Linked DNA regions of Oryzias latipes. The protein of the gene in region 2 interacts with the protein of the main gene of each other region in a pairwise test. Links are inferred from orthologs where the notes say so. Each region holds a gene or a part of one and is shown on either strand. Other genes may lie near its edges.

Region 1 (3,500 bases), on a different chromosome or scaffold from region 2:
GAGGCCCTCGTCCCAGCTTCTCGGTACCGAACCGGCTCTCTTCTGTGTTTGTGGCAGATTATAAACTTCGAAGAGGAGTGGTGTAAGGCGGAGCTCAACGGACAGGAAGGCTACGTTCCGAAGAACTACCTGGAGATCCAGCTTCCAGCGTAAGAACCGTCCTGTGCTCTCGCGCTGGAACGTGTCGGTTGAAGCTGCAGCAGCAGCAGCAGCAGCAGCCGCCGCCGCCGTTTGCATCAGATAATCTGCAGGCGTCTCCGCTCAGGTGGTTTCAGGAGAACACCAGCCGCAGCGGCGCAGAGGAGATCCTGAGGCACAGAGACGTGGGAGACTTTGTGATCCGAGGCTGCCAGACTTCTCCAGGAGACTTCTCCATCTCTGTCAAGTAGGTGGCGCCGCTGGGCTGAAGGAGCGTTCAGGAACGAGCTGACGGTCGAGTGAGTCTGAGACCCACCGCCGGAAAAAAGTGCAGAACTGAAGGTCTCAGGACAAACACGACTAACGAATGATTCAAACCTCTTTCTTTAGGCTGGATTTCCTCAGTTTCCTTTTAAAAATCACACAAACTAAAAAAAAAATGTAGAAATTTATTGAGGATTTATGATTCTTCGTTTGAATCAAAACAAAAAAACTTTTGAGCCGTTTTTTTTATTTTTATTTTGAGCGATATCTTCATTTATTGTCAAACTTTGTTTTTTACTAAAAAAATTATAGACAGTAAGGGATTTTTGTTGTTTATCAGTGACCGATGTGATTAAAATAGTTAATAAAGTGTTGAATTTTCCCGTCTGACCTTTGAGGAGTCACTGAATGAGCGTAGGGTCCATAAAATAAGATTTTTTTCTCTCTTCACACCTCCATTAGGAGGTTTAATGTTTGTTTACATCTGTTTTGATGCAAACACTTCTCCTGTTTGGCTCATTTGCTGTCAGACGTTTAGTCGGTTTAAGGTTTGGTCTCAAAAACATTTTTTTAATCACCCTTTATTCTCAGGAGTTTCTGCTCTTTAAGTTTGTAGTTTATAAATGGAAGAGATGGACGTAAAACAAAAGAATAAATGAGAAAAAAGTCAGCGTGACGTGTCTCTACCTTCAGATTTTCAAAGTAAGTCAGTAAATCAAAATGATAAACAAAGAATTTCAGAGTAAAAGCCTTCACACTCGAATGTGGATCATGAAGTGTGTGGACGGACGGCGAGGGTTTGAATCCATGTCCACGCTGCAGACGTTAGCCACATTATCTCAGAGAGGTGGAGAAGTTCTCCTCCAACAGGAAAAGCTTAAAGGTATTTCTGAAAATGCTTTTAAAAAAGCAAAACAAAAATCTGAGGTCTGCTTGCTTCTTCTGGTGAATTTTTAGCCCCGCCCCCAAGTCTCCAGGGTGGTTTTTTTTTCTTTCTCTACGCTAATGCGCGTCTCCGCCTCCGCTCAGGCATGAGAGCGACGTGCAGCACTTCAAAGTCATGAGGGACAACAAGGGCCAGTACTTCCTGTGGTCGGAGAAGTTCATGTCCCTGAACAAGCTGGTGGAGTTTTACAAAACCACGTCCATCTCCAAGACCAGGAAGATCTGCCTGAAGGACGGCAGCTCCAACAGCCGGAGCCCCGCCTCCGCACAGGTACACGCCACCTGCTTTCCTAATGATGCGTGCGCAATAAATGGTCAATTTAAGAGGTTTTAGATGGATGCAGGGAAGACGTTTCCATAGCAACCAGGCAGCTTTTCCAATCATAGATTGACTCAACTTTCCTTCAACACAGTTTAGTTTCAGAATAAAGTGAAGAAAAATTTTAACTCCACGTCTGCGTGTGTTACCTAAATGATTTTCAAAATAAAATATCAAAACTCTAAAGAAAGACAAAGATTTAGATTTTAGAGCCTTTTCCTTTCAGTTTCTCTCTTTTCATTTCAAGTTCTATTTAAGAAGACTTCTGTTTGGTTTGTTTTTATCGTTATTTTAAATAAAACTGCACTAAATGTACACAAATCACAGCCTGCAGACCTTTATTGCCCACTATAAGCACAAAGAGAATTGAGTCAAGATCATAAATAGTTGTTTTTGCTTCTTAGAAAAGATTTTCTTTCGTCAGTTTCCACGTCCACAATGAGATAAAATAATAAAAAAATAATAAAAAATAATGAAAAAAGTGTGCCTAAAACAAACTAGGAGATGAGAAAAACAGCAATAAAAACAAAATAAATATAAAGCAATAAAAGTTTTTGTGACTCTGTAAATATATGTTCTCTATAAAGATAAAGAATAATTCGTTTTTTAGCAGGTATGTTAAATTCAGTGAAATTATATTATCAATATTTTTAGCCATTTGTTTACATAAATATCTACAAAAACATTATTTGCATGAGGGGGTTGTGTAAAAAAAAGATACCAAAAACCAGAAGTGAAAATACTGTGTTAATGAGAACATGAAAGTGGAGGAGGAGGAAGAGGAGGAGGAGGAAGAGGAGGAGGAGGAGGACTGTGTGCCAAAAGACACTTGATGAAAACCACAAAATCAAACAGAAACTGCCGTCATTTCTAGATATTATTCAGTGTCGCTTCTGTTTCTGCTGCACGGTGGCGCAGTGGTTAGCGCTCTTGCCTCACAGCAAGAAGGCCCCTGGTTCAAGTCCCGGCTGGGGGACATGAAAAACACTACATCAATGGGGGACCTTTCTGTGTGGAGTTTGCATGTTCTCCCCGTGTATGCGTGGGTTTTCTCCGGGATCTCCGGCTTCCTCCCACTGTCCAAAAACATGCTTCATAGGTGAATTGGCAACTCTAAATGGTCCATAGGTGTGAGTGTGAGAGTGCATGGGTGTGTGATTGTGGACCTTCTACCCTGCGACAGACTGGCGACCTGTCAAGGGCATCCCCTGCCTACGCCCAAGTAGCCGGGATAGACTCCAGCAGCCCCGCGACCCCGAAAGGGACAAAGTGGTACAAAAAATGGATGGATGGGCTTCTGTTTCAGGAGCCTGCCTTCTTTTAAAGTCCACAGCTTTTAATTTGAAAATCTAAAACTGGTAAACATGCAGTTTGTATTTAAAAAAAATCACTTTTTTATTTTTATCATAAAATTAAAATAATGATGTCTTTATCATGTATTTTCTTTTGGTTGTCTTTTTCTAAATCTCAGATAAAAGTTTAGACGTCAAATTCACTTCTAGACGTTCGTTTTTCTGTAGAAACGGGGGGGAATTTCATTTGAAAGTGGGTCAAAAAGGAGATTTAAAATATTTCTAGTTTCTGTTTGAAGCAGAAGTTCAGAAGCGTTTCCAGAGGCACACAAACACACATACACACACAGCTTTAACATGCTGAGGTTCGAGTAGCCTGAAGAGATGGTTCAGAAGTTCAGGCAGATGGAGTTCAGGGAATAAAATGAGGAGCGTGAGGAGGCGACGAGCATCAGGAGGCTCTCTCCTCCTGAAAATGGCAGCTCCTCTTGAAGGGCTTCAGGGTCACAGGTCGCGTCATCTCTAGACCAAATCAAAGCTTG
Region 2 (4,117 bases):
CGATTCACAGATCAAACCACAATTCTTTCCATTTAATATATTATGAATGAATGGTCGCCTCATGTACGTGTTTTTGTTGGATCTATAAACATCATTTACACATTTGTTCAGAACAGGATACAAGAATCAGCAAAACATAAATAAAAGCTCAAATATTTTAAAAGAAAGAAAAGGTATTTGTCACTTTAAATAATGTCACACTTGTGTAAGTTTTTCTGTAACCTTCCTGGTCAAATTCAGTAGTGTACAAAACATAATCGTCACTGTTGCTTTGGATCGTTTAACATCCAGTCCTGGAAGTGTTCTCCACAGTTTTTCCATCTTCAGAGTTTGGCTGACTAAAGTTCCAGTAGATGGATGATAAGAAAACAATAAATGAAGACACAGCAACACCTCAATAAAAGTGACTCTGTAATAAATAGGAACTGTTCTTTAATCTAAACTAACAGCAGAGTTTCCAGCAAACATATTTTATTAACTCACTGTTTTCATCTTTAGTGGAAAACACAAAAAACCTCCACACTTTAGATGAATATTTTGCAGACATGTTCTGGTACGTCACATAACTGAACAGAAGATTTTAATAATATTTTAAAATGTCCTATTCATTCTAATTTTTCTTTAAATTATCAACTACTTTTTAAATAAAATGTTTTTTTCAGAATTTATTTCAAAATTTTACTCCCATTTTTTGTATCTGAGAAAACACTTGATAGCTTTACTTTGAAAACGAGAACCTTCTCTGACACTTTACTCTGAAAATTTGTTTACTTCCTGTGACAGAAGTCCATTCAGTTTGTTTAGTTTTTAAACTTAAAATCCAACATTTTTCTGTATTTTACAGTGATAATTTATTTTTTATATATATTCCACTATATTTCCACGTCACAAATATTGGTACAGTTTTCTGGAAAAGATGGCGTATATCTGAGTATTCGGATGCTCATCTCGGTCCTATTCATCAAAATGATCACTTTGGAAGGGGAAAGTGTACCTTAACATTAAACGTGATGTCCTCCATGACGTACACTCTTTCGGGGAAGGCTTTGGCCACCTCCTCCACACTGTTGAAGTATTGCACGGGCTCCTTGACATCTCTGTCCTGTTCCAGCAACTTGAACTGGCCTAAGCAGAACACGAATGATTAGTGCTGATATTTTCCATCGCTTCTGCCATCACATGAGAAGTAAGCAGTTGGTGGTTCATCAGTTTCTCAAAATAATCACTCAGAAAACTTTTGAAAGCATACACGATGAATAATTTAGATAAGAAAGAGCCATTTCAAAGGAAGCACCATCTTCATGGCGGCTCCTTACCTTCATAATGAACTGGGATCTCTATTTTAGGCCCAATCACATAATGTCCCTCCTCTAGACTGTGAGCAGTTATAGTTGTCCACTGACGGCAGGAATGAATCAAGAGGTAGTCGTTTTCTCTGAGGCCCTCAACCAACTGAGCTGCAGAAAGGAAGTTTAACAATCAACCAAAGTACACAAAGAGTTTATGATACAATCAGGTCTGGATGAAGCTTTTAATAATATAGTCTATCCAGTGAGTTGCTTCCTGAAAAGGAAAATATTAAGATTTGAATAAATAAATGTGTCAGAAATTACACATAAAAATGTATGTTCAACTTACAAATAAAGTTTTTTAAAAATGAATCAAGTACTGGACACGAGCCTTTTTACTTCAAAACATTACATTATGGATAACCATCACCTGCTAAAAGAGACATTTTAAAAGGTAATTTAAAATCCATTAGACATAATCCCACACAATTTCTGCATGTTTTATACATTTAAATTATGAAATGAAAAACACAAATTTAACTAAGTAGATGTTAACTTTTGTCAAAGACACTTTCTAGTTAAATAAAGTGTAGACATACTAGGGGACTCATGATGTTGTGAAGGCAATGTTGTTGTTTTTTTACACCTTCAGCGTTTTCCTTTGATTAGCAAAATAGCCTTTTCGTTTTTACTTCATGACCTAAATTCTTATTCATTACCATCAAGGTTGCTTTTATATCAATCAGTTTATAGCATTATTGCACTAAAGCGAATCTTTGTTTTTCATTAGCTTAGACTAGAGCTGATAAGCAGAAGCCTTAACTGGCTAGCATGGTAGCTATAAAACTTGAAGTAAGTTACTAACCGTTATCCAGCATGACAATTTGTGGCAACTTGTACGCACTGACCAGCTGGTCTAGCGGCAGAGACGTCGTGCTCCACGTTACATCCTTTAAGTTATTGTACAACATCGTTCCAAGGTCCATTTTGCTAGCTTAAGTTAGTTAGCCACTTTTTGAGCTAACTGGTGCAAAACACGGTCACAAAAAAGCTTTCCCGAGCAAACTAGCTACACAATTATAGCTGCTCTTCATCTATGCAGTTGTGTCATGCACATGACGTTCCCAAGTCGTAGCTGCATAGTTCCCTCTAAGTTTCCCTACGTATCCAAAAGGTTCGTTGTTAGAAAAAGTAGCCAAGCCATGTTTGTTTAGTAGCGACGGCAGTATCAAGCTAACTATTCTAACGGAAATACGTCACTTTCTACAATTTTATTTTTATTAAATAAAAGCCTTTCCCTTTTCCCCCTCCAATTAAAATTGATGAATAACAAGATTTAAATCCCGGAACAACAACTCAAATTATAACAAAATTATACAAGTACATAGCAGGTGATAAAACATTAACAAAAGAAGGGAAAAGGCCAAATAAAGTGCATTCTTTAGGCTTTTCCATTAGGTTTAATTTTTTATAACCACTTCAATAATTTCACTGCGTTTTCTTTTGTTTGTTTTTTTGCTTATTTTTATTTATTTTTTACTTCTCACAAACAATTGAACTCCTTCTGATAAAATAGTCTGGATTACAAATTAAAAATCTATTTTAGTAAATAAAATATATTCCAAAAATTGTGAAGTTTCGTATCATTTCGTAATAACCAATCGATACATTTTCTAACTTTATGGCTTAGCTATTTTATATCTTATCTAATTTTACATCTTAGCTTTTGAAATAAAAGTGTTTGTTCCAACAGATGTAGAAATTGGATTTTAATGGAATGGAAGAAGTATTTACTATTTACTACATACTAAAGAAAATGCATTTAATTAATTCAAGATAAGTACCAGAAAGTATATTTTTGTCTCGCTAAAAGGTTGGGGAAATAAGAAAAATTTTAAAGAGTGTTGGCCAACAATTCAACAATTTTAAGGACAAGAGAAAAAAAATCAAAACTCTAAAATAATTTATTTTCTTATAACTTTGTTAATGTTTACACTAATCTATATAACTTAAAGAAAAAGTCTATTAAAACCTGAGATGTAACCTTTTTTTTTTGTTTGTTTTTTCATTCTATTTTGTTTTGCAGACTGTAATGCCAGATTTAAGCCTCAAACTTTGCTAAATAATGTTAAAATAATGTTTTAATTACTCATAAGTTTTCATTTATCTCTTAAGGCACATAAAATAAAAGAATAAATTTAAAAAACATTGAGGTAATAAAATAACCTGTTCTTTTGTTTTGGCTAAATATATGGGTTCACACAATTTTTATTAATTCATTTTTAATCAGTGAAGTTTTGGAAAATCTTAACTTAAGGTAGACTTTGTGATGAGTAAATGAAAAAAAATGAAAAAAATACGGTATTGCTAATACAAATCCATGTAAATCATAAAATTAACCAAAGATAATGATGAGGTGGGGAGTACTACTATTGCACTTTACTTCATTATTTACTCTTAAAATACTACAGTAAATATTTAAACACCCATAATTTTTTCAGATCAACGATTCACAGATCAAACCACGATTCTTACTATATTGACTTGGACTCAAGAGCACATGGCGTTGATGCAAATTCATTGAACGTTGTCATCAACTTCCTGTTTTTCATGGCATAAATCAGAGAAACTTCCTCAATTCAGTCACTGTGTCTCAGCGGCAGCCAAAATGTCTTTTGTGGACACTCTGCGACAGTGGGATGACGGCGTAACCTGTGCTGACAAACAGGATTTTTCGGAAGCTCTCCGGATTCTCTTGGCCATTCCTGAGCCAAACTCCAAGATTTGTTTCAACATCGGCTGTCTGCATCTGCTTAACCAGAACTTGG

Evidence for each region.
Region 1: the proteins of garem1 (region 2) and growth factor receptor-bound protein 2 interact in binary tests that used the Homo sapiens proteins (3 or more experiments, as listed by UniProt). The link is inferred for Oryzias latipes from reciprocal best matches to the Homo sapiens genes GAREM1 and GRAP2.

Annotation. Positions count from the first base shown.
Region 1 is NC_019866.2:2,931,174-2,934,673, forward strand, and holds part of growth factor receptor-bound protein 2, read left to right. Parts: intron 1-57; coding exon 58-149; intron 150-265; coding exon 266-385; intron 386-1,431; coding exon 1,432-1,618; intron 1,619-3,500. UniProt on the Homo sapiens protein: Interacts with SLP-76 to regulate NF-AT activation. Binds to tyrosine-phosphorylated shc.
Region 2 is NC_019878.2:10,713,101-10,717,217, reverse strand, and holds the start of garem1 (GRB2-associated and regulator of MAPK protein 1), read right to left. Parts: upstream 2,801-4,117; 5' UTR 2,276-2,800; coding exon 2,155-2,275; intron 1,458-2,154; coding exon 1,317-1,457; intron 1,126-1,316; coding exon 995-1,125; intron 1-994. Other genes in the region: ncf2 (neutrophil cytosol factor 2), read left to right, coding at 3,958-4,117.